Linked DNA regions of Oryzias latipes. The protein of the gene in region 1 binds, or shares a complex with, the protein of each later gene. Links are inferred from orthologs where the notes say so. Each region holds a gene or a part of one and is shown in the gene's direction. Other genes may lie near its edges. The genes, in order: immt, MICOS complex subunit mic25a-like, c4h19orf70 and MICOS complex subunit MIC26.

Evidence for each region.
Region 2: immt (region 1) and MICOS complex subunit mic25a-like share a complex: the UniProt entries of both Homo sapiens proteins name them as parts of the mitochondrial contact site and cristae organizing system (MICOS) complex. The link is inferred for Oryzias latipes from reciprocal best matches to the Homo sapiens genes IMMT and CHCHD6.
Region 3: immt (region 1) and c4h19orf70 share a complex: the UniProt entries of both Homo sapiens proteins name them as parts of the mitochondrial contact site and cristae organizing system (MICOS) complex. The link is inferred for Oryzias latipes from reciprocal best matches to the Homo sapiens genes IMMT and MICOS13.
Region 4: immt (region 1) and MICOS complex subunit MIC26 share a complex: the UniProt entries of both Homo sapiens proteins name them as parts of the mitochondrial contact site and cristae organizing system (MICOS) complex. The link is inferred for Oryzias latipes from reciprocal best matches to the Homo sapiens genes IMMT and APOO.

The regions. Positions count from the first base shown.
Region 1 is NC_019868.2:4,709,298-4,716,511, forward strand, and holds part of immt (MICOS complex subunit MIC60), read left to right. Parts: intron 1-497; coding exon 498-642; intron 643-1,980; coding exon 1,981-2,073; intron 2,074-2,259; coding exon 2,260-2,415; intron 2,416-2,562; coding exon 2,563-2,696; intron 2,697-3,338; coding exon 3,339-3,445; intron 3,446-3,693; coding exon 3,694-3,829; intron 3,830-5,899; coding exon 5,900-6,029; intron 6,030-6,150; coding exon 6,151-6,374; intron 6,375-7,214. UniProt on the Homo sapiens protein: Component of the MICOS complex, a large protein complex of the mitochondrial inner membrane that plays crucial roles in the maintenance of crista junctions, inner membrane architecture, and formation of contact sites to the outer membrane.
Region 2 is NC_019865.2:2,284,095-2,291,886, forward strand, and holds the start of MICOS complex subunit mic25a-like, read left to right. Parts: upstream 1-3,038; 5' UTR 3,039-3,151; coding exon 3,152-3,235; intron 3,236-4,532; coding exon 4,533-4,617; intron 4,618-6,222; coding exon 6,223-6,325; intron 6,326-7,022; coding exon 7,023-7,164; intron 7,165-7,792. Other genes in the region: E3 ubiquitin/ISG15 ligase TRIM25, read left to right, coding at 1,183-1,350, 1,490-2,198. UniProt on the Homo sapiens protein: Component of the MICOS complex, a large protein complex of the mitochondrial inner membrane that plays crucial roles in the maintenance of crista junctions, inner membrane architecture, and formation of contact sites to the outer membrane.
Region 3 is NC_019862.2:7,383,333-7,391,200, reverse strand, and holds c4h19orf70 (MICOS complex subunit MIC13), read left to right. Parts: upstream 1-3,863; 5' UTR 3,864-3,986; coding exon 3,987-4,015; intron 4,016-4,357; coding exon 4,358-4,514; intron 4,515-4,681; coding exon 4,682-4,742; intron 4,743-5,580; coding exon 5,581-5,678; 3' UTR 5,679-6,194; downstream 6,195-7,868. Other genes in the region: spinb (spindlin protein B), read right to left, coding at 7,151-7,356; hsd11b1l (hydroxysteroid 11-beta-dehydrogenase 1-like protein), read right to left, coding at 272-402. UniProt on the Homo sapiens protein: Component of the MICOS complex, a large protein complex of the mitochondrial inner membrane that plays crucial roles in the maintenance of crista junctions, inner membrane architecture, and formation of contact sites to the outer membrane.
Region 4 is NC_019875.2:2,470,734-2,477,240, reverse strand, and holds MICOS complex subunit MIC26, read left to right. Parts: upstream 1-2,412; 5' UTR 2,413-2,436; coding exon 2,437-3,030; 3' UTR 3,031-3,520; downstream 3,521-6,507. Other genes in the region: protein PIH1D3, read right to left, coding at 84-169, 511-607, 746-845, 1,650-1,716, 1,789-1,887; eif3f (eukaryotic translation initiation factor 3 subunit F), read right to left, coding at 3,679-3,759, 3,942-4,055, 4,168-4,304, 4,476-4,567, 4,650-4,787, 4,872-4,951, 5,541-5,611, 5,897-6,008. UniProt on the Homo sapiens protein: Component of the MICOS complex, a large protein complex of the mitochondrial inner membrane that plays crucial roles in the maintenance of crista junctions, inner membrane architecture, and formation of contact sites to the outer membrane.

The DNA.
Region 1 (7,214 bases):
TTGTTTAAGAATTTATAATGCTTTGATTTTCAAGGATTTGTTGCATTTTATTTACCGTTCAAAACTCCATCCTCGTTTTTAAAAGTGGTTTCTTGTTGTTTTACAAGGTGAATGAAATGTTTGCTGAATTGAGAATAAAGGATTAAGCATAGAAAGTTCACCCATTAACCACTAACGGATGTAATAACCGCTATCTGCAGCCTTTTTTCTTAAACTGTGTTACCACAAGTTCTCTATTTTTTGAGGGACAGTTTCTCTGCCTTTTATTTTGAAGCAACTTGGAACAATTATCTGTGATTATGTATTTTGAAAGACTCACCTGAGGAAGACCAAAGAGGAGGCTGACGGCTGTAGTGCAGGAGGACATGAGTGTGACTTAGGGTGATGCAGGGGGGGGGGGTTAGACGGAGGATTTGCTGTGGATGATGCATGAATGATTAATTAGACTCATATTTTAATGCCACATTTTGACAATTATGCCTGTTCCTGACATTCAGCTGGAGTCCACTCGGCCTCAATCCATGCTGGAGAAACAAGCCAAGACCTCCAAGGTCCAGTCAGAGAAGAAAGTAAAGGGGGCCGCCCAAACGGGGTCCACAGAGCCCACTCCCTCCGTGTCGCCCCCTGCTGTCACCATGGAGGGTGAGTTCTGGAACCAGAACCTGCAGCTGAGCAGGTACAGACCCTCTGAGCCGTTGTTCACGAGGACCAGCCGTCAGAGGGTTTGTGAGGAATCCAAAGCGTAATAGTTGAAGGCTTTGCTGTGGGAAGGGCATCAGTTCTAAAAACCTCCACACACAGAAAGTTGTGTTAACCAGGCAGACACGTACAAAGATAAACATGTGTGCAAAGAACGAGAAATGGTGTCAAAGATCCTCCCATTAGGATTTTTCAAGGCAGAATGAGAGGCATGAAGGGGGGGTGGGGTGGAAAGTAAATATTCCACAACCTTAAAAACATAACTCACAAATACAGATATATATCACAATACTATATAAATCAGTGTTTTTCAACCAGTGTGCCGTGGGAAATTGCCCTCATTAACTGATCTAAAAACATTTCCCATCTCCAGGAAATCAGCTCTTTGTTCATCCAAACAGGCCCTGATAAAACACTGAGTAGTTAGGAATATGAAAGATCATAAAAGACTTTTCTTTGTGTTTATTTGATTCTATTAAAGACATTTTGATAAGAATGATGGTACTGCGATTTAGCCGCAGCGTCAGCTGATTTCTGAAAAAGTCCCGCCCCTTTAACTGTCTCCACCAATCATTCTTGGAGGCTTAATCAAATGTCATCAGTCTGACCAATCAGAAGTGGTTAAACTCTTCACTTCCTTGTTCTGATTCTGCTCCTAAAGTCTCTCAGTTCTAACAAAAATTCCAGCTAAAGCTCGTCTTTAGCGGTGTAGCTTTCCACAGAATCTGGTATCAGACCGTGGAACAGGTGAACAAAACAATGAAGCTCAGAGAAGTGAGTCTGTCTGACATCACTACATCACCCATAATGCATTGGGTTAGAGTGACAGCATCTCAGCGTACAATGAGTCTCTCCTCTTAACGTCTTGAAACCACAACGAACACACATCAAACAGTTTTTAAATCTTCTAACTTAACTTTTATTACATCTTTTAGAAAAAACAGCTGCAGCTTCCAGCTTTTCTGCCACAATCATCACAAAAATGCACGTGTGATTGTGGAGGTGCTGTAGATCAATACAGACTATGAGTTTCTCTTTTTTTGTCATTTTTGGATGCTGGTGTGCTGCAGGATTTTGTCATGGTTAAAGTGTGCCGTGGCTCAAAAAAGGTTGAAAAACAAGGATTTAGAGGACAGAGAAGATCCTAGCCTGTCCTTTCACACACACCATGTTCCACTGAAGGACAGATCCTGAGCTCAGGATGAGTTTGTGTCAGACCTTTAGGTCCTTCTCCACGACCGGTCCACTCCACCTTCATCTTCTCCTTGTCTGTTCCTCCAGGAGCTTCAGCCGAGGCCACCCAGATCATCTCTGCCAGCAGCGACGTCCCTTCAGTCCCGGCGCCGTTTGACACCCAACCCACAGCGGTCACAGGTAAATCACCCAGCAGGAACATGTGTAGAGTAATCAGATTACTGCAGGGCTAGGGGAGTTGTTACTCGTTGATGGTTACCATTAGCAGGGTCACTGTTAGCAGTAAATAGTTGTGGAGGGGGGGCTGACTGCTGCTGTTATCAGTGGTCCACGTGCACGCTCTTCAGCGTGCGCTCTCTTTTTCAGAGCACTGCGACGAGTGTCACCACGTTGGCTCAGAGGCGGCCCACAGCGGCGCCGATTCGCCCGCCGGGTCCACAGAACAGCTGGTGGAGCGTCCGGCCGAGGAGGTGTCGGCCCGTCTGGCCCAACAGGACCAGGATGAGCAGAACGTTTTAGCAGGTTTGACGCGAGAACCTGATTTCTCTGAGGCAGAACCTCAACTGTCTCCTCAGTGTGGGAGGGGTCTTCAGCAGACGCCCGACTTGTGACAGTTTCCAACAGAACCGTGAGGCTCATGCCGGTTGTCTGATGTTTGCCGTTCTCCAGCGGTGTCCAGCAGTCTGGAGGAATCTCTGGCCTGTTCAGCCAGAGCAGCGCTGCAGGCCATCGGAGCCCAGGAGGCGGCGCTGCAGGCCATCAACCAGCACACGCAGAAGCTGAAGGAGGCCATGGAAGCAGAGGTACTGCCATGGCCTCAGCGGCCTGGGGCCTGTGGTCAGTGTCATGGAAGACCACCCAAAAAAAAAAAAGGAGTCCATCGTTACTTGGATAATGGATTCCTGATTCATTTGGGAGATTTCTTGTTTTTTTTTTTGTGAGTTTTTAAATAAGGAAATGAATCATTTTGTTAATGGAAGCTCAGGTTTGTTTATAATAATAAATTAAAAGGATTCTAGAGAGTAATTTAAAATGAAAGCAACTAAATATTTTAGCAGAGACTATTATTTTGCTTTTTAACAGCAAAATTACACACAAAAATGCTCCATAAACATTTCCAATCAAGCTTCCAGCAGCAACATAAAAAAAGAGTAGACAAAAGCTTCTTAGTATAAACTCTGGATTTTAAATTTGTCACGGCTTTTCCAAAGATGACAGAAAATGTCTGTCATCTTTTTTTTATGGAGGGCTGAGAGGAAATTAGCATTTCAAAAATAAAACCTGTCATGATGAGGTTTGATTTTATTCAGATTGAATTACGGTATAGAGGTTTGAAAACGAATGTGGATTATTGATTAACAGAAGGTGCAACAGCAGTGGAACATTCTGGAATGTGATTGGCTCGTTAGAGGGAGGAGTTCAGTGACCTGACACTCTGTTCCCAGCAGAGTCCTCCCGAGGAGAAGTCCGTCCAGTGGAAGGATCTAGAAGCTGCTCTGATGGACCGGACCTCTGCTGTGACGGACGCGACAGCTGCCCTTCAGAAAGCCAAGCAAGTTACCCCCACCCCGAAAACATGTCACCCTGTTGACCTCAGGTCACCTCTGCTGTCTGCTGGTTCCTGAGCTCTTTAGCAGCACTCCTCTGCCGTTCTGGGCCTCAGAACAGCAGAACATCTCCAGCTGTCGGACTGTTTTTACATTCCCCTCGTTTCCTAGCGTGCACTCAGGCGTGTGCACGTGTCCTTCCGCCGCTCACAGAGCGCCGCCGTCCCCTGAAGCTGTGTTTTCGTCCCTGCAGGGAAGCTCTGGATGGTCTGAGGGCCACCATCAACGGCTCCAAAGACCTGAAGGTGGCCGCCGTCCGCCCGCTGGTCCTGGCAGCTGAAGAGAACCTGCATAAGATGGTGGTGGACCTGGACAGAGTCGTGGCTCAGGTTAGCAGCTGCTCTGCTCTCTCTGCCTCTAACCCGGTCTCAGGCTAGAGGACACATTATTACTCAAGGAGGCAGGTAATCAGTATTTGGAGGCGATATTTATTTGCAGTAAAGGTGACAATATTTTACAATTTAGAAGAATACAAACACAAACAATTAGTTTATTTCAAAAAACAAGTACCGGTAAATAAACAACCAAAGACATAGCTCCTCCTAGAAGTGCAGGGAGCAACAGGCTCAGCAGCAATTTTTTAGTTTTGTTTTAAGTGAAATAAAGATTTCCCTGAAAGTTTTTAATAGTAATAAAGTCAAACTTCAGCATAAATTGGAGGATTTATAATTTATGTTAAGTTGAAACAAAAAGTGCACAGTGGCAAATAGGGATGGGTATCGTTAAGGTTGTAACGGTACTACTACTCTTATCGATACTGCTTATCGATCCGGTATTTTAACTACATTCTTATCGATACTTTATGAGGAAGAAAAATAAATAAATATACAAATAACAAATTAAGAACAAAGTGTTTTATTTCCTCATTTTGCAACGACATTGTTTTTTTAACAAAACATTTTACTTTATACATGAGAAAGTTCCAGACAGGATATGTATTTAAGTATTTTTATTCTTTATGAGCGTGATGTTTCCTTTGATCTTTTGTCCATTTTCGACAACCTTGAATGGACTTCTGTCTGTCAAACACCCAGAGTTAAATTAAGTTAAGTGAGATGATGGAAACAAATTCACTTTGATACGGACTCCTTTCTGTTTCTTTATTTTTTTTTAAATCCAGTAAACCCAATAAATTATATAAATTGTATGGAGGAAGAATATCATTAGTTGTTACTTATTATTAAGTTTTAGGAAGCAGCTGTTAGTTTGTTGCGGGTCTGGAACCATAAGCGGTGAGTCTAAGCCCCGCCTTAGACTGATCCGCAGTTAAATCATCAGTAGACCCAATTCACAGCGAATAGAATAGAAGACTTTGTTAATCCCACGATGGGGAAATTCCTTTTGTCAGCGGCAGCACAGAAAAAATCAAACAAAAATAGTTGGACTAGTTAAGCAATCAAACGCCGTCTCTTGGGCCGTGAATGGCAGAGAGCTGCTGAAGGCGGCCTGTTGGGGGCGGGGGCTTTATGTCTGGTGTTTCGCTGAGGAGAGGAGGGAGACGTTTGAACGCCGGCATCAGATTGTCTCAATGCAATGATCTGTGTTTTTTGTATTTCTCCCCGTCAAATAAATATGAACAATAACATTTATGGTAGCGAGTTAAAAGCGACTTTGCTAGTTACCAGTAGAGGGACATGCAGAGGACCGAGATGCCCACTACTATTTGGAGAGAGTTTTCTGTACGTTCAGCACATCCGTACACCCTCCAGAGCGTCTCCACAGCACAAGGCTTTTCTCTCTGAGTTTGAGTTTGACAGTGGTGGAGACAGAGAGCCGGAGGTGCGTCTGAGCCACAATGACCAGCTCCACATCAGTCCATCCAGTTAAAAAAAAAGGGCTTAATGCCAACATGTCAAAATCCTAATTATTAGGTCGCACAATAAATCGCAAATGTATCGTTATTGCGATATCAATCTTTGCAATACGCAATAAATGGTTACCTTAAACGTGCTAAAACAATCTTATGGCAGCTTGAAGTATTCAACGGATCAAATAAATCCCTTTATGCATTTGACCAATCAGATGGACGCTTTTTAAGTTAGATACCCGCCTCCCATGTAGACTAGTTTCATTTGGAGTATAATTGAAGTCATGTTGACTCATATTTAAGTTAGTAGTTAAATGGAACAAATCGCACGTTTTCCTCATAGAGTTTGAAGAGCCATGGTATGTCAAAGAGCGCCTTACTTTTGGGTGTAAGTTGGATGCAGATTTCTCCTCATGGTTCACAAATCCAGCAGATCTTCAGGCAGAGTCAGGCCCAAACGGGGGGAACGCCCTGCTTTCAGCTGCTCACAGATGTTGGGAGGTGTTGATCCCAGAAGCAGTGGTCATTCTTCAGCCTCACTTAAGAAGCCGTCTCCAGGACAATGATGGTGATAGAAAGGATCTGTATGCAGGTGCAGTCGGCTGAGGTGGAGTCCAAGATCGTGTCCCAGTACAGTGACCTGGTCCAGGAAGCCAAGCAGCAGTTCCAGAAGGAGGTCAGCAGCCTGACTCCAGAGATCCAAGCCAACTGGAAAGGCCTCAGTGAGTCAGACTCACCTTCATCCTCTAACTTGGACATCTTAGTACCACAAAAACCCGGCAGACTAAACCAGCTGAATGGTTGTAGAATAAGGAACTGAACCATTTTGTGTGTTTTTGTTAGCGGGGAAGCTGTCCACGGACGACCTGAACGCCCTGATTGCCCACGCTCACCGCCGGATCGACCAGCTGAACCGAGAGCTGGCAGAGCAGAGAGTCCGGGAGCAGGTCCACATCGATGCGGCTCTGCAGCAGCAGAAGCTGGAGGACCAGAGAGTGCTGGAGAGGGCCGTCAGCTCCTCACTGCAGCACGTGAAGGAGGAGGCCCGGCTGGAGCAAGAAAGAAAGGTTTGAAGCTGCGGCGCCTGATGCTGAGCCTCCGCCACGCCACACACACACGAGCGCCTACATCCAGACCCGTGCTGCAGTTAGGTTTAGAAGATCCTTTCATCAGTTTGGTCATTTTAAAAAAAACAAGAGGTGCCTCCTGCTTTTTGAGATCAAAGACTTCAAGGGCGAGCATGAAGAAGAAGATCTGGCTGCAGAAAACCTCCTTAGTTCTTGTTGTCACACCCAAACCACTGTGGTGGAAGAAAAGTGCTGTTAGAAAACAATTAAGATCCATCATGAACTAACATCAGGACAACATGGATCCGGTTTATAAGATCAACAAAGGTCATCCATCAGAAGCAAATAGAAAAAGTATCAGTAAATACTCCTTTATCAGCGTTTTGAATGATAGAAAATGTGTTTCTGCAGCTTGTAATCTTCTCTTTGGGATGAGTGATGGATGAGGAGCTGCAGCTCCTGTTTTTAGGACTTCTGTTCTTCACATGTGAACAAAACCCAGCAGACAGTCTAGAAGAGACAGATGGGAGAATCTCAGCTCTGAAAAGCAGCACCAGAGCGGCGCTTCACAACCTGTAGCCTGTGAGCCACACCCCTGAGTTTACTGCTGAGGCGCGTCACAGTTCTGCTTTGAGAAATGATTTTTCAGACTTTTTATGCATCTGGGATTCAGTCCCAGATTTGACAACGTTCTGCCTTTTTCCACCAGACCCCGGAGTGAAACAGGAGCTTCTGCTGAAGAGCAGAAGGCTTTATGGAAAGACATGTCTGATGGTCATCTGACCACCACTGCAGACATCAAATAAGAATGTGGTATTAAAAAAAACCATACAGAATCAA
Region 2 (7,792 bases), on another chromosome or scaffold:
TCTTATTTTTTTTACTGACTTCACTCCATAATGTTCTATTTTGTTCCTTCATTTAAGTATCTTTATTTATTTTAACTTCTTTGGTAAAATCTGACAAATGAAAGAAAAGACAAGACGTCATTTGTTTCTTCTGGAAAGTAACAATTCAATAAATTCAATATTGGTTTCCAAGTCAAAATAATGTACATAAAATGCATTTGCTTAACATTTAAAAGGGGTTTTGGTTCTGAAATGCGTATTAAACGTTTGGATTCTTGACATTGATGCTGTCTAAAAGCGGAACAGTGACGAAGATATTCGACAGACGTTTTCCTATATAGGTAAGGAATTAAAAAAAAAAAAAAAAAAAAAGATGAACTGCTGCAGAGTCCCCCCCCCATGTTATTGTTCGCCCCACTGTCCCCCACTGTGAACGGCTCCAATATTGCTCGCCATTTTTTGTGGAACCAGTAAAGTTAGGGTGGGGGGTGGGAGGGACTGTAAGCTAGCGGGGGAGCACGTAAATGGATGGGTGATGCAAAGTGGGGGTGGGGTTGCTGCACCCCAACAGTCCCGCCCACAACTCCTGCCGCTCTGCAGAAACTATGTTCTAAAAAAAAAACAAAAAACGTTTTTACATTTTGGCTCAAAACGGTTCCTTCTACTTCTTTCTTTCGCCTGTTTCTTCCTGTTGGGACATGGGCCGCATGCGGGGGCTCTCCAGGTGGGCCGGTCTTGGGCGAGTTCTTCCAGCTGTCCCAGCGTTTTCCCCAAGCCATCGAACCCTGCTTCTGGATCCCGGCGCCACGTGTTCCTAGGTCCCCCCCCACGGTGTAATCATAATTAAAAGACCACTGGGAAGACTTTGAAAATAAATCAGAATAGAATCAGAGTGGGACTTTAAAGACTTCGTCACCTTTTTAAATGACAGGAGTTCACCTACCTAAATGTGTTCTTCAATTTGCAAGAGAATTTGTTTAAAAATGTTATGTTGATTGCTGTTAAGTCCAGTTGAGGAGGAAGGATTGTCCCCCTTTACTTTTCTTAGATGGGAATAAGTGAATGGATTTGTTTTTCATTTGGCTTCGTCTTTTCTTTTCTATAATAGCTGTTGTAGTGAGTAATGGTTTCATGGGAAATAAAAGGACCTGAACATCATCAGTGATGAAGGCCAATGAAGGACATGGACGTACGTATCTGCAGGTACAGGGACCGTCTGCTGACGGTGTTGGAGGAGGAGAGGGGGCAGCGCAGGAAAAGCACGCAGTTGGAAGTGAACGCACTGGGGGAGTCGCAGCAGCAGCTGCTGGAGATCCAGAGGAAAACTGCACAGGTGCTCAATGAGAGAGATACATGCCTCTTCATACGCAGGTAGAGCACAAAAGCCTTCCCAACTCCTTAAATGCTACTGTGTCTACACTGATTGAGCAAAAGCGCTGCAGTGTACAAGGAAACTTCTTTCATTATTGTTTTGATTTATGGACTGTGTGCTTTTGTACCTGTTTTCCAGATTTATGATGATAGAAGAACAGCTGAGGGATGCTGTCACGAGCAATTTCTCCAACAAAATCTCCCTAAGCCCTCCAGTCAACACCAAGCGCCTGCAGACCAGCCTGAAAACCCTGGACTTCCGCTCAGAAATGACCCGGCTCATCGATGCCCTTCACATCCTCCTCAACCCGCAGGAGCTCACCTTTAACGTTTGTACCGCCCACCCCAACTTAAATGTGTCCACTGACCTGTGCACAGTCAGGTTCACCTCCAACAAGCAGCCCTACATGGACCACCCGGAGCGCTTCACCAGTGCGCCGCAGGTTCTATGCAGCCAGGGCTTCTCCAGCGGTCAGCACGTCTGGGTGGTGGAAGTTGGGCCCAACTGCATGTGGGCCATGGGCGTGTGCTACAAGAGCATCCCACGCCGCGGTGACCACAGCCGTCTGGGTCACAACACCGTGTCTTGGAGACTCCAGTGGAAAAATGGCAAACTCACCGTGTGCAGCTCCTCCAGTAATGTTGTGATTCCAGAGAAAAAGCCTCATCCAACCAAACTGGAGATGGCGCTGGACTATGAGGGTGGAACCCTGACGTTCCACAGCATCAAAGGCAGCAGAGAGCACATCTACACCTTCAAAGCTGTGTTCAAAGAACCCGTTTTCCCAGCATTCAGCATTCATTCAAGCAACCCAGACTCCTGGATCACGCTTCATAATGGAATGTAGAATGACTGTTCACTATCAACTTTACAGAACATTTTGGAGATCCACAAGCCAAGGCATTCCTTTAACACGAAAGCTTTGTTCTTTTTTTTGTTTATAAAAGACACAAACTATCATTTATGGTGTATCATATGTTTTAAATTCCTAAATGTTAATTTAAATCTTGTAATGACAAAAGTATTGACTTATTGATGGGGAGGAATTACTGAGAAACAATAATTCTAAATATATTTACACTTATGAGCAAAAAACAACTAATACAATAAAACATGTTTACAGTTTTTTCTTTTTTTTACATTTCTGTTAAAACAATTAAATAGAAAGTACATAGACACTGGCTGATTCACCTTTTTTGGTAAAGAGGTCTTAGTTTTGTCTCCTATTTTCTTTTTTTTCCAAACTATAGTAAAACGTGTGCACCTGCACCAGCTGTCAATGTCATTGTGCAAAGTTAACCCGGTGAACCACCATGGAAAGAAGAATTATAGACATGTTTTGTGTTTGGGGGTTAAATAAACTTTGAACAGAATGTTTGCTGTCTGTTGGCAAACGTTTGACTCATCGTTACCATAAAGATTTATTATTTTTATTTACTTTTAAAGGTACTTTTAATTAAATTGTATAAAATGCAGCATATGGTGTAAGCGTTGCCAAATCTGATGATAACCCCCTAAATTTACTAAAGTATTTTGCAAGTATTGCAACTTTTAAATTTTTAAGAAATGTTTAAAAAAAATTGCTGCTTCACTTAAAATAAATAAATAAAAATCAATCATATGAAAAGGTTACTGCACTTACACGCAAACATCGGGTCATTTGGGGACATTTCCAAGCAAACCTGGCAACCCGCATCCCATCTGTCACACATTCTGTCATTGGACAGGGGCTTAACGGAATTCTTTGATAGTACTATCAGTATTTTCATTAAAGAGGGGGGGCTCATTCTAACAAACGGCATGGGCTTAGGGGAAAGTACGACCAGAAAAGTGTCTTATGGCGTGGATGAGGAGGACAGAGTCCGGATCCTTCGCGGAGTAAAGGTAATTATGCTACTTCTGCTAGCGTGTGATGATAAGGCTAATAGGGTGTGTGGAGCGCTGACTCCCCGCCGAAAGATGTCTCCTCCACATCTAAATGTACTCCAAGCGAAGGCAGAGCTTCGTCCAGAACCCACGAAACAAGTGGCGAAACGGTGAGGACAGACGGGGAGGAAGGGGCTGGCTCAGCAGGGATGAACCAAAGTGACCTTTTCGGTTACGCCGAACCTCGTTCGTAAACAAGCGCTTTTTAGCGTTCCTTCATTATTTTCCAACAAAACAAAAACATTTCATAAACTTTCAACACATCTCATAACTCTTTGGTGTGTTATAGTGAATTCGGCGCAAATATTATCTACATTGATGCGTAAATATTGTTTTAAATGACGCGTTTGGACTTTAGCATGTTGCTTGGGTTTTGGCTAATATCTTAATCGAATTCAGCTAATAATAGCAACAAATAAGGGACGAATAAAACATGAAAAACAAACTACACAGACTGGGCTATACTATTATTTGTTTTGTTAATAAATTACATTTGTAAGCGAGGCTCTGTGTTAATTTAACAGTTTTAATTGAACAGATTTTAAATCAAGTTTGGTTTAATAGCTGGCTTGACAGTGATGCGTTCACGACCAATACTAGGAGTAGGAATTGAGCGATCGGCCACTCAGCAAAGTGTAATAAATGACATTTATGCAGCCAAATAAAATCAACATTAGTTTTTCTACACCATAACTGTCTGTGTGTTTTATTGTTGGGGAAGTTCAGAATTATTTAAAAAGCTTTTAGCTGTACACATCCAGCCGAATGAGGGGTTGCAGTTTAGATCTTTCTTTGTGTTTTGACTGACTTTTTCTATTTCATTTTTAAAAATAAATTTTAAGGTAATTCTTACATTTAATGGCTGCATGGGGGTAAAAACCCATACCAATGTAGTTGGCCCCTTTTTAAAACGTTTTGCTATTATATAAGTCTTTTTTTTGCAGTTTACTGAAAAAAACTTTGTTTAAACAAAGAAAAAAGAAAAAGAAACGCTGGTTACACATGTAAAGTTGTGAGTCACAGAATCAGTGACTCATAGACTTGATCTGCCTCCTGTGGTTTTTCATGTAGCTATTTATTTTTTTTAGCCATTTTTCCTGGGCCATTCACAAGCAGGCGCCCAAATTAAATAGGCCTGCTGTGTTTCCTCAAACATTCATGGTATTCTGAGTTTTTATAGCTATTGCAGAGTTGAGATCTTTATGCTTATAATCTGGATATTGTGACTAAGCGAGCTCTTTTTTTTCTTTACCAGCTGTCAGAAGATGTTCTTCAGAGGATGCGAGGAGTAGCCAACATCAGTCAATCATCACTGTCCTCAGGCCCTCAAGGAGACAAAGGTATAGTTCACTTCACAATTGGTGAATTATTTTGTGTCCCACAAGAAAAGTCTTTGCTGAAAACATCCAAAGTGCCCGTCCTGATAGCTGAGATACATATAAGTTTGTGTCTCAGGTGGAGACGATCACCTGTCTGGGTTTTAACACAAGAATCTGTGTCACAGGAGGTTTTTTTTTTTTCTGTTTTTGGTCGACACAACACAAAAGTCTGGGTCTTGCTTGAGTACAATTCCCAGAAGGCTGAAGGTTCCACAGTTATCAGTTGTTGAAACAGTGTTTGGGTATAAACATCATGGGAGCACAAAGGCATCACACCTCTGAGAAACCCTCCGTCCCGGTAAGGACCACGCTCTGGTGGTCACAACCCTCCAGAGACAGTGGAGGCTGTGGGAAAAAATACAGATTTGGTCATTCTGCATGAACAAGTTGGTAGTGGGGGGTGATAAAGAAATGATCAATCTGGGGAAAAAACATGATTATCAATTGAGGAAATACATAAATTACAGCTAAAAGCCCCCCCCCCCCCCCCCCCCCCCCCCCCAATCAGGCTTTCTTGGCTTTAGACACATAGGGGTCCACAAATTTTGATTGGACTGTTCCCTGTCCCCCCCCCCCCAGGATTGGGTGGGGCTAGGGGTCCCTTGCGCCCCTGACCTTGCAGCTCTTTTTCCACGCGGGGAGGACGTCCACATCTGAGCTGGGTAGGGCAGTATCGCCCGTGGAGCGGGAAGGACCCCTTTTCTTGGGACTCCAGGGCCCCCCCAATTTTTCCATCGTTGCTCACAGCAACCGGAGCCTGGTCCTCGGGCTCACCGGGCCCTGGCCCTGTCTGGGGCCTCTGCTGGTCGCTGGTTTCTGCCGCTTCCCCCGGTTTGTCTTCGGCGGGGCTGCGCAGTGCGGGCTGGCCATGGGTGTTCCAGGCCTGCCTCGGGGGTGGGGGCGGATGGGGGCTCAGGACTCCCGGACGGTGGCGTGCCTCTGATCTGGGTGCCGGTTGTAAGTCCCGCGTGGTCGCGTTTGGGGTGGAGCGGGTCGCTGCCCTGGCGGGGGGCCCCGGCTCTGCGCGCTCTCTGTTTCTCTTACTTCTTGACGGGGGGTTGCTGGGTCTTGCCCTCTGGTTCCGTCTCTGTGGTGGCGGGCCCGCGGTCTGCCCCTAGCTCTGGGGTGTGGGTGGGCTGGAGCATTCAGTGTGATGAAGGTACACTATAAGCAGCACAGTGTGTGAATGTGTGTGTGTGAATGTGTGTGCATGGGTGAATGGGACTGTGACTGTAAAGCGCTTTGGGCCTTAGAAAGAAGGTAGAAAGCGCTTTATTAGTATACGCCATTTACCATGTTTGTTCAACCCACCTCCATATTCACTTTTGCCCAAATATGGGCATGGGTGAAGAATATTGGTCATGCAGATCTTGTGTGTAGCTGTGTGTGTGCAGAAGTTAAGTTCAGTCGATGCATCCTGTGAGATTCGTCTTCCAGGTATGAATAGACTTAAAACCTGTAAATAGCTGTTGGTGTGTGTGTCATGAAATATACTGATGACACAAAAACATGCAGAATTATGCAAAAAAAACATTCATTTTTATATGACCCCCCCTGTTTTATCAGGTTCCTCTCCTGGCTCTAGCTCTGCCTCTCAGTCCAGGCAGAAGCCAGAGTCCCGAGCGCCGTCCAGCAAACCAGCGTCCACTGCTAAAGAAGATCAGAGAAGGTGGGTAACGTCTGAAGGAAGACGAGAAGTTTTTCTGAGCTAAGTCCTGTTGTGGAATCTGAGAATCTCCATTTTGAAATCTTTGCACTGGCTCCCAGTCAGCTTTAGGATCGATTCTAAGGTTCTTTTATTAGTTTAAAAAAGTGGAACTAAACACTTAGAATGTGATTTATGTATTATTTTGTTGTTGAACCAGACATTGTGAAATCTGAATGTATCCCTTATCATCTCCCTTTGTGGTCCTCCATCCTGGTCCTCCAAACCCAGCAGGTATGGGGAACTTAAAGAAGAGTCCAGTTTTGGAATTAGGTTTTTTTTTAAGCAACCAAAACAAAACAGAAAACTTGAAGAAGACAAACAAATAAATGTATAAAAGCCATTGATTTATCAAACCTAGTAGTTTATACAGGTTTCAGTCAACTGGTTTTTAAGCCAAACCTTCTAGGCAGATGAGAAGAGATGAGCAAAACAGACTGATTTGCAACATGTATGAAGTTTTTAGATGAGTAGAAGTTCATTCTGGGTTAAGCGGTGACTCACATTTGTTTAGATCTGCATCCAGCGGCCTCTGAAAACTGGAAATGTGCTGCCCCCTTGTGGACATTTTCTTTCTTTTAAGAGTCAAACCAGGCTGAGTGAGAAAACAAATGCATCCTTCTGGGAATAAACAAACTCTTGTCTTTGCCAAACCTTTTAGGTTTGAACGGCAGCAGGCGATACTGAAGGAGGAGCTGGCCAAGATTACCCAGAGAGAAAAGGAGCTGGCAGACGAGAAGACCAAAGCCTCCATCCAGGAACGACAACACGCCCGCCAGGAGTCTGAGAAGACTAAACAACTGGTATGAAAAAAAAAGGATCTGGAGCTTTGACTGCAGAAAACACATTTTTGACAGTTTAATGTTGGTAAAAGAGATATTTTCGGTGGTTTGTTGAGCCTTTTCAAGCTCATTTTCTGAGGCTTTAGGGTCAGGACTTTCCCAGTCCACCTGTGAAAGACATTTAGTTTTCTGCTCCTTCACCACAGAAACCAGACTTTTTTTTTATTGAATGCTCATTCTGTTTACTCATTACAAAATCATAAAGCACATTTCCTTACATTAATAAGATTGTGTTCTATTCATTATGTCATACAGCTTTAGCTTTCTAACACATTAAGCTAAGGAGCCGGTTAGCTAATTGGCTGGTCTGGGGTTCAAATCTCAGTCTGTCTGTTGACAAGACAGCAATGTAAAACAATCTATGGATAAAAACCATCATCAGTTATTTGTTTATAAAGCACCTCCCACCATCAGCCAAAGAGACCTAAAGTGCTGTACACGTGGAGAATAAAATAATTAAAAGCATAAAACCAAATTAAAACATTGTAGAGACATAAATAGAAACGAATAAAAACATCTGCTGAAGTTAGCTGGATCCTATTCTAACTAGGATTAAAACTAATTAAAAATGTATCTAATGTATAATAAC
Region 3 (7,868 bases), on another chromosome or scaffold:
AAAGTACTAATATTAGATTCAATAATTCTTTCTTTCAAGAGTGGCCATGGTATACGTAAGAGGGATATGCCCTTCCAGGTGTCCATTATCAGAAACTACTGGATGTTATGGAAGCAAACATCCTCTGCTTCACACTGGAAGTTTCCTGTCTCCAGGTTGTCCGTTAATTTCTGACATCCGAATGCCTTAACGGGCATTACCCCTTACATATATCTATGTCATTTCATTCAAGGACTTGTGACAAGTGACATTTATGGTGAAGGTCACTGACCTGCTGCAGAACTTTCTCCCTCCGGGCTGTAATGACTACCTGGGCTCCAAAGCGGGCGTAATGATAGGCCATCTGCTCCCCGATACCTGTGCTGGCCCCCGTCACCAGAACTCTGGCGCCTCTGATCGACTCTGGAAGGAATTCCTCCAATAATCACATCAATCCGAATTGCTGTACACTTTTTTGCCTAAATATGAGCATGTGTTGATGTAAACATTCATGTGTGCTGCCCTGACAAACCACTCGTCAATTACTTTTTTAACGTGTTGGATTCTTTTGGTCTTGCACAGTGGGTTTCTGACCCAACACACAGTCATGGACATATTCTGGACTTAGCTCTGTCTTTTGGGTTTCTCATCACCTCGGTCAAGACTGTAAATACTGCCTTTTCTGACCATTCAGCGGTTTTATTCGACTTTGTTCTGCCATTCAATGTTGCCCCCAAACCTGCTCCTGTCACATGGGTGCGGGGCCTCGACAAAGGAAAAGCTGCTGAATTTTTGGCTATATTTTCGCTGGAGTGGCCGACTTTATGCTCATCCCCGATTACCACAGATGCTTGAATTGCTGTGCTCTAAAATTTTGAATGAGATTGCCTTGCCATAAAAAAAAACAAGGGACACATCTGAACGCTGGGTCTCTGAGGAAATACGTGGCTTGAGACAAGACTGCAGGACAGAGAGAAAATTGAAGGACAGATTCCAAATTTCCCATGATCTCCTTAGAGACCAACTCTACATCTATGAGGAAGCTGTCACAAAAGCTAGAAGACAATTTTATGCTGATATTATCTCATCTGCTGACGTCCTCTCAGGATTCATTCAATTTTAACCAGGTAGTAGTGAGACCACTGTTGAAAAAACAAATGCTCGATTCTCCTTTTTTTTCAAACCATAGGCCAAATCCAACCCACATTTTTGTGCTCAAGTCCTTGACAACATTCTCTTTAAACAGTTGGTCACTTTCTTAAACGCACATGAAATCCAGGAACCTGTACAGTCAGGGCTCAGGTCTGGCTCTTTAAAACCTTTTTAATGATGTTCTGATGGCAGATGAACTGGTTGTTCATTTATCATTGGATCTATCTGAAGCTTTTGACACAGTTGATCATGAGATCCTAATTGGCCGGTTGGAACAGTGGGCGGGGCTTTCCTGGGAAGCCCTACAGTGGATGTGGTCTTACCTTACCTTAGGTCTTTCTGCATTAGAATGGGTCCTCACTCATCCAAGTGTGACCCCCTGAAATGGGGGGTCCCTCAAGGGTCGGTTTTTGGCCCGTTGTTATTTTCTATTTACTTGCTGCCACTGGGAATGCTGTTCCGGTAGCAAGAGGGGAACTTTCACCTTTATGTTTACGACTGTCAAGTTTATGTCCCTGTATGTAAGGGACCTGACCGCACAATTAACTTAATAATTGACTGCCTTGCTGAAGATAGGTCGTGGCCTAAATGAAAGCAAAATATGTAATTGTGTTTACCCCTAGTGGGGGAAAAGATCATGGTGTTGGTTTCCTTTCTCTTGCCCCTTTTGAACAGTCTGTGGTCACAAACCTGAGTGTGAAACTTGATGCAGCTCTGAAGCTTCACCTCCAAATAAAGGTTGTGATCAGGTCCTGCTTTATTCAGATGTGACGTCTGGCTAGGATTAAGTCTTCTTATCAAAAACTAACCTTGAAATGGTCACCCATGCTTTGGTTTGGTCTAGTCTAAATTATTGCAGTTCTTTATATTCTGCCTTAGCCAAGGCATTAATAGCCTGCAGCTGGTTCAAAATGCAGCAGCCAAATTTATTTGTGGGGCAAAGTAGTTTGACCACATAACACCGATCTTGGCCTCTTCGAACTGGCTGCCAGTGAAATACTTGCTTTTCATTAAAATGTTGGTCTCTTGCAGGTATGGCTCCTTCTTACCTCTCCAGTCTTCTTTTAAAATATTCCCCTCCAAAGTCCTTACGTTCCCCTCACCAGTTTGTGTTAATGGTTCCCAGAACCAAAAGTAACTTTCGGGGGGACGGTGGGTTTTCTGTGTTGGATCCTAAACTATGGAATCAGTTGCCACCGGCAATTAGAGAGGTCACGCTATAGATGACTTTAAAAAAAGAACTTTTCTCCATTTCAGCGCTTTAGCATCAGCCTAACCCTGGTTTTAATCTCTCTTAAATTGGTTTTATGCTTTTTATTCTTTTCTATTTATGTCCCTACAGGGATTTAATTTGGTTTTGTGCTTTTAATTGTTTTTTGTTTTGTTCTCCATGTGTACAGCACTTTGGGTCTCCTTGGCTAGTGGTGGAAGGTTCTTTATAAACAAATGATGATGATGATCTAAAAAAACATTTATGTTACCCTGAACTGACTGATAACAACTGGTCCTTATATGTGTGATAACACAGAAGTGTACAAAGATCCAACCGCAGTCATGCGGCGTTTATAATTGCCCCATGAAGAGATAGCGGCTCACAGAACCTCCTATAGTATCAGAACACGTTTCAACCTGTGACCCTGAGCTCTGATTGAGCGCTGCTGGAGTTTGTTACAGTTGTTAAGGATGGTGATATTACCAGAGGATAGCATGAAAACTGACTGATCAGCTTTTCTGCATGAAAGCTGCGCTCGCTGAGGTCAGGCCTCTCAGCCACTGAAGCAGATTCTAACCGTTTACCTGGTTTCCACTCCCACTTTTCCCAGAGGGAATAGTAAACCCTCAGCAACATTATTGTGCATAGGTAAATTAATTCAGTGCAGAAATGTTCACAATTTCATCCTATTTATATATGTTTGAGCTGACTATTTAGAGCAAAGGGGAAAAAACCGGAATAGTCAGCTCAATATGCAAGTAAAGACATGAACCTGTGGCCCCATTCGCCAATAAGCAAAGGTAATGTTATCTTTATGATCCTCGTTATGTTGCCATGGCACACAAATCTGTGAATGGTAGATAACTCCAAATTAATGATAGCAACAGGAAACATTCAATGAGTATTAAAAATTAATTAAAATAAGCATACAAAGAAACCCAACTGCGAAAAATGACTGATCATTTCTGCAAAATGCGGTTTTAGGAACACATGCACGCCCCAGAAGGTCCACTAACATCCACCCTGAGCCTCAAACCCTTAAATAATAAGACTGACTAAAAAATGAAACAGATTTCTGCTCACCTGGATCAAAAGTGGGTGAAGTCCACTTGACAGCTAAAAAAACTACACATAAACTGACTATCAAGACTTTAGTAAAAGCCATTTTGGAAAAAGCAGCAACTGGTCTGACTGCTGGGTTTTGTGGAATTGTGCTGATCTGTGGTTATACAACGGCTGCATTTGGCAACACTGCTCTCAGACAAGTTCAGGGAGGTCCCATGGAAAAAAGTACATCTGTTAAACGCCCCATTTCACTGTTTTTCTTGCGATTTGGGCGTGAACTTCACATTAGACACACCCCTTTGAAAAATCATTTTTCATTTTTAGATATAATTTTTAAACATTTTTATTTAAAAAGTATTTACCTGTGATTTAAAAAGTTAAATAAAATAAAGCATTAGAAAGTGAGGCAGAACGAATGTGTTGCTCTGCAGCGGAACTAAGTTTCCAAGATCCAACTTTATTAACACAGCTGTGGTTGACAGGACAAGAATCCGGCTTGTCCTTCAGTGCAGCTGCTAGGTTTGACTTCTTTCAGGTCACAGTCGTGGCTTCGGGATAGTTCGGTTACCCGTGGATCATGGCGACAAAGCTTTTGCCTGTAGTGAAGTTAGTTCATTTTTACTTTACAAATGTTCGGAGAAGTGATGCTAAATGCGGGATTAGCCGACTAGCTAGCTAATCAAACTAGCTAGCAAAGCTAACAAATGTTCTTTGCCTGTTTAGCTAACTCTAATATAAACTATGTGTTCTGTATCTGTATCCACAAAACTGAATGTTAATTTACTCATTTATAATTTACTCATTTGTACTCAGCGCGTCTTGAGAAGTTTCTAAAGTCCTTTAGTTTCTCTGTCAAACCAACGTTTTAAAATGTTTACTTGTGTTATCATCTCTGTCTCAACGATCTTTGATGACCTGCGTTTCATGATGGACTCTGATTACCTGCAGACTCGCGACCAAGGTGGGCATAGCGGGAGGGGCTGTGTATGTGGCCTATGACTCCGGGCTGCTGGGGGGCAGCGAACAAGGTTCTGAGGCCCTACAGAAGGCCAGAGCCGCTGTCCCCCCCGCCATTGAGGAGTGGATGAAGTACTTCGGTCTTCAGGTACAAACAAACTAGGTTTGAGTGAGAGGTCTTTGGGTTTGTTTGGTCTTTGGTGACTTCTCCTGGGGTTAAAGAGGACCGTTATAGATCTGCACATTAATGCATCCCTTAAGTTTCACTGGTCCCATTAACTAATACACAACCTCCTCTTTTTATTTCTCTGTCAGCAGACTCAGCTTCCAACCATCCCTAACGTTGAATTTTCTCCGGTCCAGGCGTGGAACTCTGGTAAGAGCTGACGGACATTTTTGGGTTTTCCTCTATAAGAGAAACAGTTTGTCATTTCACTGCTGAGTTTGTGCCTCTGTGTTTGCAGGGGGTCTACAGATTTGCTCAAGTGAAATTTAAGGATTTTAAAATTTAAGACCCTATATGCACAAAAATAGAAACAGAGAGTTGGGAGTCTGTGGTTTCTTGCTCTACACGTGATTCCATTGCTATGATCCTTGCTATGTAAAGTTTAAATGTCTTTCAGCAAACCGCAGAGTTTGCTTCATAAAGATTTCCACTTATAAGTTTAACCACTACGACTAATCCCTATTTCCAAGACACACACTGCTGAGCACGAGCTAATAAGCTAGCAGAGGTGAAACGATTTACCACCAGTTAATAACCTTATGACACAGCGCATCCCAGAAATGTTCTTTTTTTTTTGGGTGACAGGTCACATCAGTCGATGAGAAATTTAAAACCTGTTCGTAAGAATTTAGCTGAAGAGACTGATGATGGGAAGTGGGGGAAGGCTTACCAAAAGTCCCGCCCACAACTCAAAGGGGAATTTCAAATGAGCTCCTGCAGAAACTGTCCTGGAAAATGACAGGTTTTTAGACTAAAAATGGCAATAAGAACACTGGGAACGCTTTGAAAAGAGATCAACAGATGATCCGAGTGGGACCTTAAGACAATTTAATGCTTTACAAGACTTTATTGTAGTTCAACAAAACATGAGACTTTTTAAGGATCTGCAGCCACCTGGGTTTGTGTGCACGTCTTCAATCAGCTTTCGCCTTCAGTTTTCCTTAAATTTGTCTTGTGAGACCTGAAAACCGTTTCTTTTTAATTGCAGGAGTGCGGTGGACGATTTCCAGACTTTCTGAAGCTCCAACAAAAGCGAGTGAAATGACGACTCAGGGGTTTCAGTTTGTGAAAGACCTCCTCAAGTGAACCCCCCCGGTATCAGTTTTACTTTTGCACTCAACAGCTCACTTTGGAGAGGTTCAGCCTCGTTCCTCCCCAAGTGGAAGGTTATGGTAACACATTACTACTCCTAAATCAGCCCTAGAAAAGCAGTTGTTTATGAAGAGGCATGTAATGAAGACTGAGCTTATTGTAAGGAAATGAAGTATTTAAAGAACCTCTTCTTTGCTGTAAACCAACTCATTTTACCCACCAAGCAAGGTTTTTTCTCAGTCTAAATGTCCAAAAGTTGTAAATATTCTAGTTGACCTTTTCATGCCTTCTTTAGTGTCTCATGTTCAAGTTCTGGTCATGACAATGTCTATAAAAAAAACACCAATCATATGCACAAAAACTTTATTTGTTCCATAACATTGACACGAAACACAGGAAACCAAAGCGTCAGTTGAGCATCCGAACCTCCAGGGCTCCCCAGCTCTGATGTTTAGTGTCTGTTTTAAATCTCGTTATTTCCACATGTAGAAATAAAGTTTCCTAACTTCAGGCACGGTTTCACTGTTTCATGCAACTTTAACGGAGAAATCCAGAACCGAAGAGCTAAAGAACTGCGGTTTCATCACATTAAGTTTGATGAAATCACTTCTGCAAGCAAATATAAGAGTACAAGACGAGAATTCCTGTGGCGGTTACAATAGTCTGTTAGCTGGAAGTCCACATGTTTACTACAGATGTTGTTATGATCATACAGAGAATGTACACACCAGCAGAACTATCTCCTCTTCATTTAAAGCATTTTGCAGTTTTTTAAAACAAAAAAAGTATATTCTAGGAAACGAGTTCCTCCTTTACTTGAATCTGAATATGTAAACGTTACACAATAAAGTGCTCCTCACAACACAACAGTGAGAGAATACAATGGATAAGGATGCATTTCCCATCAAACCAACGGCTGCACAGCTTTCCTGACGGGGTCAGTGTCGCTGTTGAGGGAGGGGGACTAAAGAGCGGCTGTCAGGGGCAACGAACTGATTCCAACAGGCCAGAAGGCACTTTGATGATGTGGGGGTGTTCACATTCAAACGCAAGGCTGCTGTCTTCATCCAGACGGGTTTCTAGTCCGTGATACCTCCGACACGGGAGTGTTGGCGAGAAGCTCAGCAAAGCAGACATCGCTAAACGCAGCTGGGAATGTCGCAACTAAATATGGAGCAACGGGTTGGAAAACATGCATCTGACGACAATTACCATCTATCAATGCCATTCTAGGGGGCTGCTCTCTGGGGAGGGGTCAAGGCCTTTATTCGGAGTTCGTGTCTTTTCAAAAGCCACAAAGTGCAGATTTGATTCAATTAACGACTCGTGAAAAGAAATAAAAAGAACCCAACTCCAACTGAAAACGGCGAACTGTGCTGCCAACACAGCTGAGCATCTCTTCTTAAACAGAAAGACGGATGGGACGACAAAAAGCAAACAAGGTGCGATAAAAGTGTCCATCACGTTCAGTTGGTTTTGACCAGGTCATAAACATGAATGTGAAAGTCATCGTCATATTTGATGTAGTACACGGAGGGCTTGGCTGGCACCTGATAAATGACCAAGCCCGTCCTCTTCACCCCTTTGTCGGTGACGTACTCCACCTGCTTCCCCACCAGACTCTCCGTCTCCTCCCCTGGTTTTCTGTCTGCAGGCAGCAGGTGCTTGTTTTCTGAGAAATGACAAAGACGGTGAGAAAAACGCTCCTCAAACGGTTTTGTGGCACCAAACATCCGTTTGTTTCCCTTTTGTGAGGATGAAATGCAGGGAGATCGTCAAGGAGTTGACAGACCTGTTTTGAATCGCACTGGAAAACAGGAAGTGATGCAATTCTGTCTGTGTGGAAACGTTTCGGAATCTATTCTATGAAAGTCTATTTTTGAAAGGACTTGTGGAAATAAATACTTCACTTCAAAGATATTCTAATTTTTGGAAGGTTCTGTAATTACGTGATTCATTTGTAACCGTTAGTGATCATTAGGGCTGTAACAGTACACTAAAATCTCAATTCGATTCGGTACATTTTCAGTGGTTTTTTGGTACAAAAAAGGCAGAACAAAATGACTTGCAAAGTGCATTTATTGGTTTTACATAAAAATATATAAAATGGACCTATGTAGGTTATCTGCTATATAAAATAATACAACTATTAGCTGTCAGGAAACAAAAACTTTGGATAATTAA
Region 4 (6,507 bases), on another chromosome or scaffold:
ATCATAAAAAGAAATGTTTGTCCTGATCTGCAAAGTCTCATCCATAAGAGTTAAATAAAAGAATATTTCCAAGCATTTCCTACTATTTCGGTGTCCTCAGATCAAGGAACTTCTCTTTTACATCCAAGACGACATCTGTAGCTCTGGTATCTGGAAGCTGAATTTTGACCTGAAAGCAGCAGAAGTGTGTAATGTATATTTTTAAGTTTTATGTCAGTCCATTAGCAGCTCAAATGGAATTTTAGCCTCAAAAGAGGAATTAAACTTAAACTACAAAAGTTTCAAAGGAGAATTTTGACAAAACACAGAACCTGCAACATCTTTTACTAAACGTCTTCCTCCTAAATTAGTGCTCTGAAAAACTCATTTGGACGTATTTTCTTCAATGTCTTCTCCGTTGTCACACTTTTAAAAAGTGGTTTTCAGATTATGCTTTGTTCCTTTTTGGAATTCACTAAAAATGACACTCTGCGCTATTTGAAGACAATAAAAGAAAACTGAATACTGGACCAGCAGGGCTTCACAGCACATGGAGGAGGGGTCTTTCCCACTGAGGCCAAAAAACACATCTTCTGTTCCCACACTTTGCTTGAGGATCATTTCATACCTGTACACAGATATTGCATATAAAACACTCACTTTGCACATGATCTGGAGAATAAAGCTTACAATTTTCAATAATAATAAGCAATTTCCAGTGAAACAAGCTGCCTCAAAAGTATGTTTTATTAGCAGTGAGTCTCACTCAGGCTGTGGCCGCGGGTCAGCAAAGTCCATGAATCGAGAGCCTTCAGCCACCTCCTCCTCACTCCAGATATCCTTGCTGCTCTTCTTTATACTTGGCTCTGTGTCAGCAGCGTCACACGTACATTAACATTCACATTTAGCCTCAGAATGACACATTTTGAGAAGGTTTGTGATAAACAATAAAGAATATTCAATAGAGATGCCACAATTCTTTATTAAAAACTGAACAGTATGTTACGCCATAAAACCTAATCATGGGAAAAGTGAAATGTTGCATCCCTGCAGCATACCAGCTGTTATGCTACGTTTAAGAGGGATTTACTGTTTATTAAGGATGCAGTGATACACTTTCAATTCAGTTTAAATTTCAATTTTTGCGTCACGATTTTGCTTGCTTGCATGATTTGTGTATTGCAGACCAACAACAACAACAAAAGAAATTCTGAAAAACCCTTTTTTTAAATTGCTAAATGACAATAAAGAAAAACTTTTCAGATGGTTTTAGCTTAGCCTTGTGTAATGTAATATAACAATAAATACATGCAATACAACAATGAACAATAAATTCTTCATCAATTTAGCACAATACGTTTGACACTTTCAACGTAACCATATTGGTACGCAGTAGAGATGAAACGGTTCACTTGACCAATGATGCAGTTCAGCCGTGTAACACACGGATCGGTTTTGGTTTGTAATTGTGACATCCTTAGTGTTTGTTGCTTTATTGCATTACACTAGGTTCAGTATAAGCCACATAAAGGGTTTCTCTGCATTATCTGCAAATTTAAAAAAAGGGATTTTCCCAATTTTTTGTGTTTTTTGTCGTTGTTTTGTAATGCACAAATATGTATATTTTTAAAACATGAATGAGACCCAGAACTTGAATGTTGCCCTTTTACCTTCTTTAGAATTCTGTGGAGGGAGACCAATTTGTCCAGGGCCCAGCTGTGCAGATGGAGTCACTCTCTGGTGAGGTTAAAAAAAGTATTGACATACTTCCTCATTCTCTCTTTCTGCTTAAGTGTTTTTAAATCTCACTTGATCCTCTTCCTCCTCCTCTTCGTCTTCTTGCTTGGTGGATAACAGGGCAGACAGAGCCCTGAGGGTCTCCTCGGATGATAAACCCACATAATCCATTGGAAAGAAAACGTGTTATTCAAAAGATGGATGTTAAAACTAACACTAGCCTTGTTTAGGTGTAGAATGTAGTCACCAAAAAAAGGCCACAACGACCGTAATATCTGACAGACACTAAAGTTCGCAGCTGCTATGCTAACTGCACGTTTGGAACGTTGACGCTCGTCACCATGGAAACAAATGGGTTTCAGGCTGCCATGGAAACCAACAAAAAAAGAAAAGAAAAAATTTATTTCTTTAGCAAAGATGAACTGACTAAAGAACATTTTTGTAACATTATTTCTTTTTTTAGAACATTTTTAACTTAAGGCAGGAAGAGTCTAGAATATTTTTTATCCAACAATCAGATTTTTTTAATGGAATATAAAGTCGTGTTCATAAAAAAAAACAACTTCAATCACGTTATTTTTATATTCATTTAAATGAACAAATACAATTTTACAATACAAGTTTACTGTCAAAGCAAAACGAACGCAAATATCTGGGAGGCGGCGTCATGATTTGTGTCCCTTCTCGGACACCGTAGCTGATGTATGGCCCTCAGGGATCATGTTCAAGGTGACAGGTAGTGCCATGCCGGGATCCACGCGCTTGCTGCCGCTCGTTTGGGCTGCTGATGCCGCAGATGGTGGGGAGAAAGAGCCCGAGGCCCGGTTAAAGCTGGATGACCTGTCCCTGTACACCGCTCCTCAAAAGCCTCACTATGTGGAGCCAGCGGCGGGGCAGCTTGAGGAGCACGTCGCCACCCTCAGGAAGTTAGTTGAGCCCTACACGGGATGGTGTCAGGCCACCGTCGGTAAACTGAAACCCAAAGTGGAGAGTCTCGTGCAGTCCGGAAATGACTCCTACGTCTACCTGCAGAACCATCCCAAGGATTTCTACGCGCAAGCGGGGATCATCGGCTTCACGGGGCTCCTCGGATTGTTCCTCGCAAGAGGCTCCAGGGTTAAGAAGTTAATCTACCCCGCTGGTCTGATGACCGTGAGCGCCTCCTTGTACTACCCGGAGGAGGCGGTGACCATCGCAAAGTCAACCGGGGATTCGGTGTACGGATACGCGGTTCGGGGCTTCGCTGCGGCGGAGAAGCTCCTCAGCCCGCAGAGCAAAGACGGAAAAGGCAGCAAGGCAGAGACGAAACCATGACGGATGGATGGATGGATGGACGGACGGACGGACGGACGTCCCCGCGCAGCAATAACGGATCACGCGGCAGCAGCTTTTCTAGTACTGTAGATGATGGACCTGGACAGGTTCCACTCTGATGTCTGCACTATTCCTCATGCTTTACTCAGGCCAGACTTTGCCTTTAATAATTGACCTCTGCTACGGATTTGAATGTATATTTAATGATAAAGATCAATATTTTGCTTTGGATAAAAGAACTTGAAACACTTTAACGGAGTCTCACGTGCTGTCTACTGTTACTTGAATAGGACAAAAAGTACTAAATGAAGTTACTGAGGAAATACAAAGTAAATATATTTAAAGTTTTTTCATAATTATTCCTCCACTTTAAGAGTTCTGTGCATTTGACCAAATCCTCTTTATAATCTGAAATAAAGAGTTTAAACACTATTGTCACTTTGAAACCTCAAAGAGTAAATGTAAGCTGAATAAACACGCAATACCACTGTCACAAATACTCAACATGTTTTCTTAATTAGTGGTAAACTTAAATTTGAGATGTTCTTATATGTAAGATCCACCCCACCCCAAAGAAAACATCATGATGCGACTGTTTAACATTTTATTTGCTTCAGCCAAACAATAAGAAAGTTTAAATAGTTCATTTCAGGAGAGCAGCACCAGCTTCTCGTGCAGGGCAATCTGTGCCTGGGTGAGGTTGGACAGGTACGTCACCATCAACAGGTCCTGCAGCAAACCACAAGCACGTCCATGTAGAAAATACACACAACTGAATTTCACAGAAACAATTCCAGTTCCACAGTCGTACAGATGCTAGTATCTTTTAATCTTCACAATGTCAAGAAGTACAAAAGGGTAAAAAAAAACCTCATGCAAATTGTAATTACAGTATCAGGGGAAGCACTTACATTGATGTTAGAATTGAGCATGTTCTCAAAGTCCTCAGGTGGGATGGTCGGCACCTTGTTCACCAGGTCTGTGAGGAACCGGCCAACGCTGTTATCTGCTGCCACTTTCCCAGACTGGAACAGATCCAACAGGTTTTCACCAGAGATCACCCACTTCACTTTGTCATATGTGCCAACACAGGATGTCTTCTTGTTTTATTTTTTTTGTGACAGCCTTAATACTCACCAACACATCGTCAATGTATGCCAGCACCGTAGTCAGCATGTCCTGTACCCTGGCTGCAGCTCCACCCACCTGGGACAGGTCAGAGGTCAGACCCTTGGAGCGACTCGGAGCATCCCGTGTCCTTTGAAGAAGGTCCACTAAAAACAAACAAATATTCAAGTCCAGCTATAGAAATGTACATTTGCTTTTGAACAAATCTTACAAACGCAAACATACATTTCTGAAGTGCATTTGAAACGGGGACAAACATTTTTTAACCCAATAACTCAAAAGTAAGACTTTTTACCACCAGAGTATCTTCTGCTTACCGCCTATTCTCTCAGTGTCATAATAGATATATTTGACGGTGAGTGGGGTAAACATGACGCCGACGGTCTTTCCTGGCACACCCATCTGTGCGCTGTGTAAGACATACACAAACACATTTAGATTCCTCTCAACCTCAACACGACGACACAAGTTGGCAGCACAGATCCGCTTACCTGAGATAGGCCCGGATGTTCATTTTGCCACTCTGCAATGCCGTGTCCACAGTCAGGTGAATGGGGTTGGAGGCTTCACGGCTGTAATACTCATGGATGAGCACAGAATGTTCAGTGATGTCAAAGCCTGTGGCATACCTGGTGGAAAAAGGTCACCTTTTAAATGTATCTGAAAACTTTAGCTGTTGAGTATAGGTATCCGGATACAAACGGCTAACGCACCATCCGATGATGACCTCTGTGGGCGACACCCTCTTGTGAAGCTCATACATGTTTTTTGCAAATTCCATGTCAACAGCGACCTGTTGTCAATAGGACAGACAGAAGATCACTCCTTCAAAAAAGGAGGAACGTGCACATTGTATTTGAGGTGTGTTGAGAAAACAAATAGGATTGTGGCAGTAACTTTTTCACCGTTTCAAACTAGAAACGTATTCTTCTTAAAGTCGCCTCATGAAGCATAACGTTGATGACACAGCATCAGGTGAATGCAAAAGGATCAGCCGAACACATTTGTATTGCTGGTAGTCAGGAGGATAGACACATTTGTATAGTTTTCAGTTTGTTAGTTCAGGTGTTGAAGACAGACAAACTAGTTTACTGATCATTTCTGAGCAGCAGAATTATTGTACGCCATCACAGCAAAACAAGCTGCAAGTGTTAAAAAGGGCAACAAATACAAACAAATCCTGTTAAATGTTACATAAATTTATGAAGTACAGAAGTATCGATCATTCAAATAAACACAGAAGTCATCTTAAATGCAATATGATTCATCATGCTATAGGTACAAGCTTTCTCCAAGATTTTAAGAGAAAATAAAGTTTGAGACATTTTTAACCTTAAGTTGAAGTGCAAAACAATTAAATTTCGCTAATGTTTAACACTCACCTCATCTTCTGACTCATTGTGGGGGACAGAGAAGCAGTTCGTCACCTCAATTGAGTGTTTGTCAACTGTACCTGAAAGCGACAAAAAAGTTAAACCGTTATTGATATAGATGCTTTGTATTATGTATATAATTCATGACAATTCACTCGCTAAAATTCTTTTTTGTTTGTTTTGTTTACACAAATCGTAATGTTGAAAACATGTCGGCTAGCTAGCAGCTGGACTTCACCATTGGTTTAAACTAAGCCAGCGTGCGTTAGCTAGCAAGCTAAAGCTAGCCGTATGCTAGCCACCGCTAGCGCTCTGAAAACATCCATCCTCCTGCGACAAGACGTAAACATGAATTTAATGCTTACCCAAAAGGGTTCCGATCACACGGCTGGCTCCCTCATTCCTTCGCTCATACGAGTCGCAGATAGATGCGAGAACGACGGGATGGATTTTCACCACTGGCCCGTACACCGACATCTTGAAAAAAGAGGACCGTTTACCGGCTCGAGCGAACACATATACTGCCACCTAGAGGCTGGAGGCCGAATGGGCAGCAACCAATGAACAGATTTAAAAATAAACTCACACATATTTTATTAATATGACTAAATATAGATACACAGGGGGCGATTGTGCTGTTGACAGTGCTGCTAATAATGTTTTTTAATAGAAGTGTTTTAATAATAAAAAACAACAAAATCGGTTTTTAAACCAACACTAATGTTATTTTATATCAAGAATGTAGTGCGTTTGATTTTATGTTTTATGTCCACTGTTAATCAGGTGTATGCGGTTACATTGTAAGTGAATTAAGTCCACATTTCCTCTGTGAACTCCGCAAACAGGCTCCGGGGGGGGGTGTCTCTCCCTGTTGTGCGTCTGAGGCAGTGAGGTGGACGGGGGCTGCACTGATGACAGCCTCCTGCGTCGCTCACAGCCTCACTCACACCTGACCGACTCCATCGGACGCGCAGAT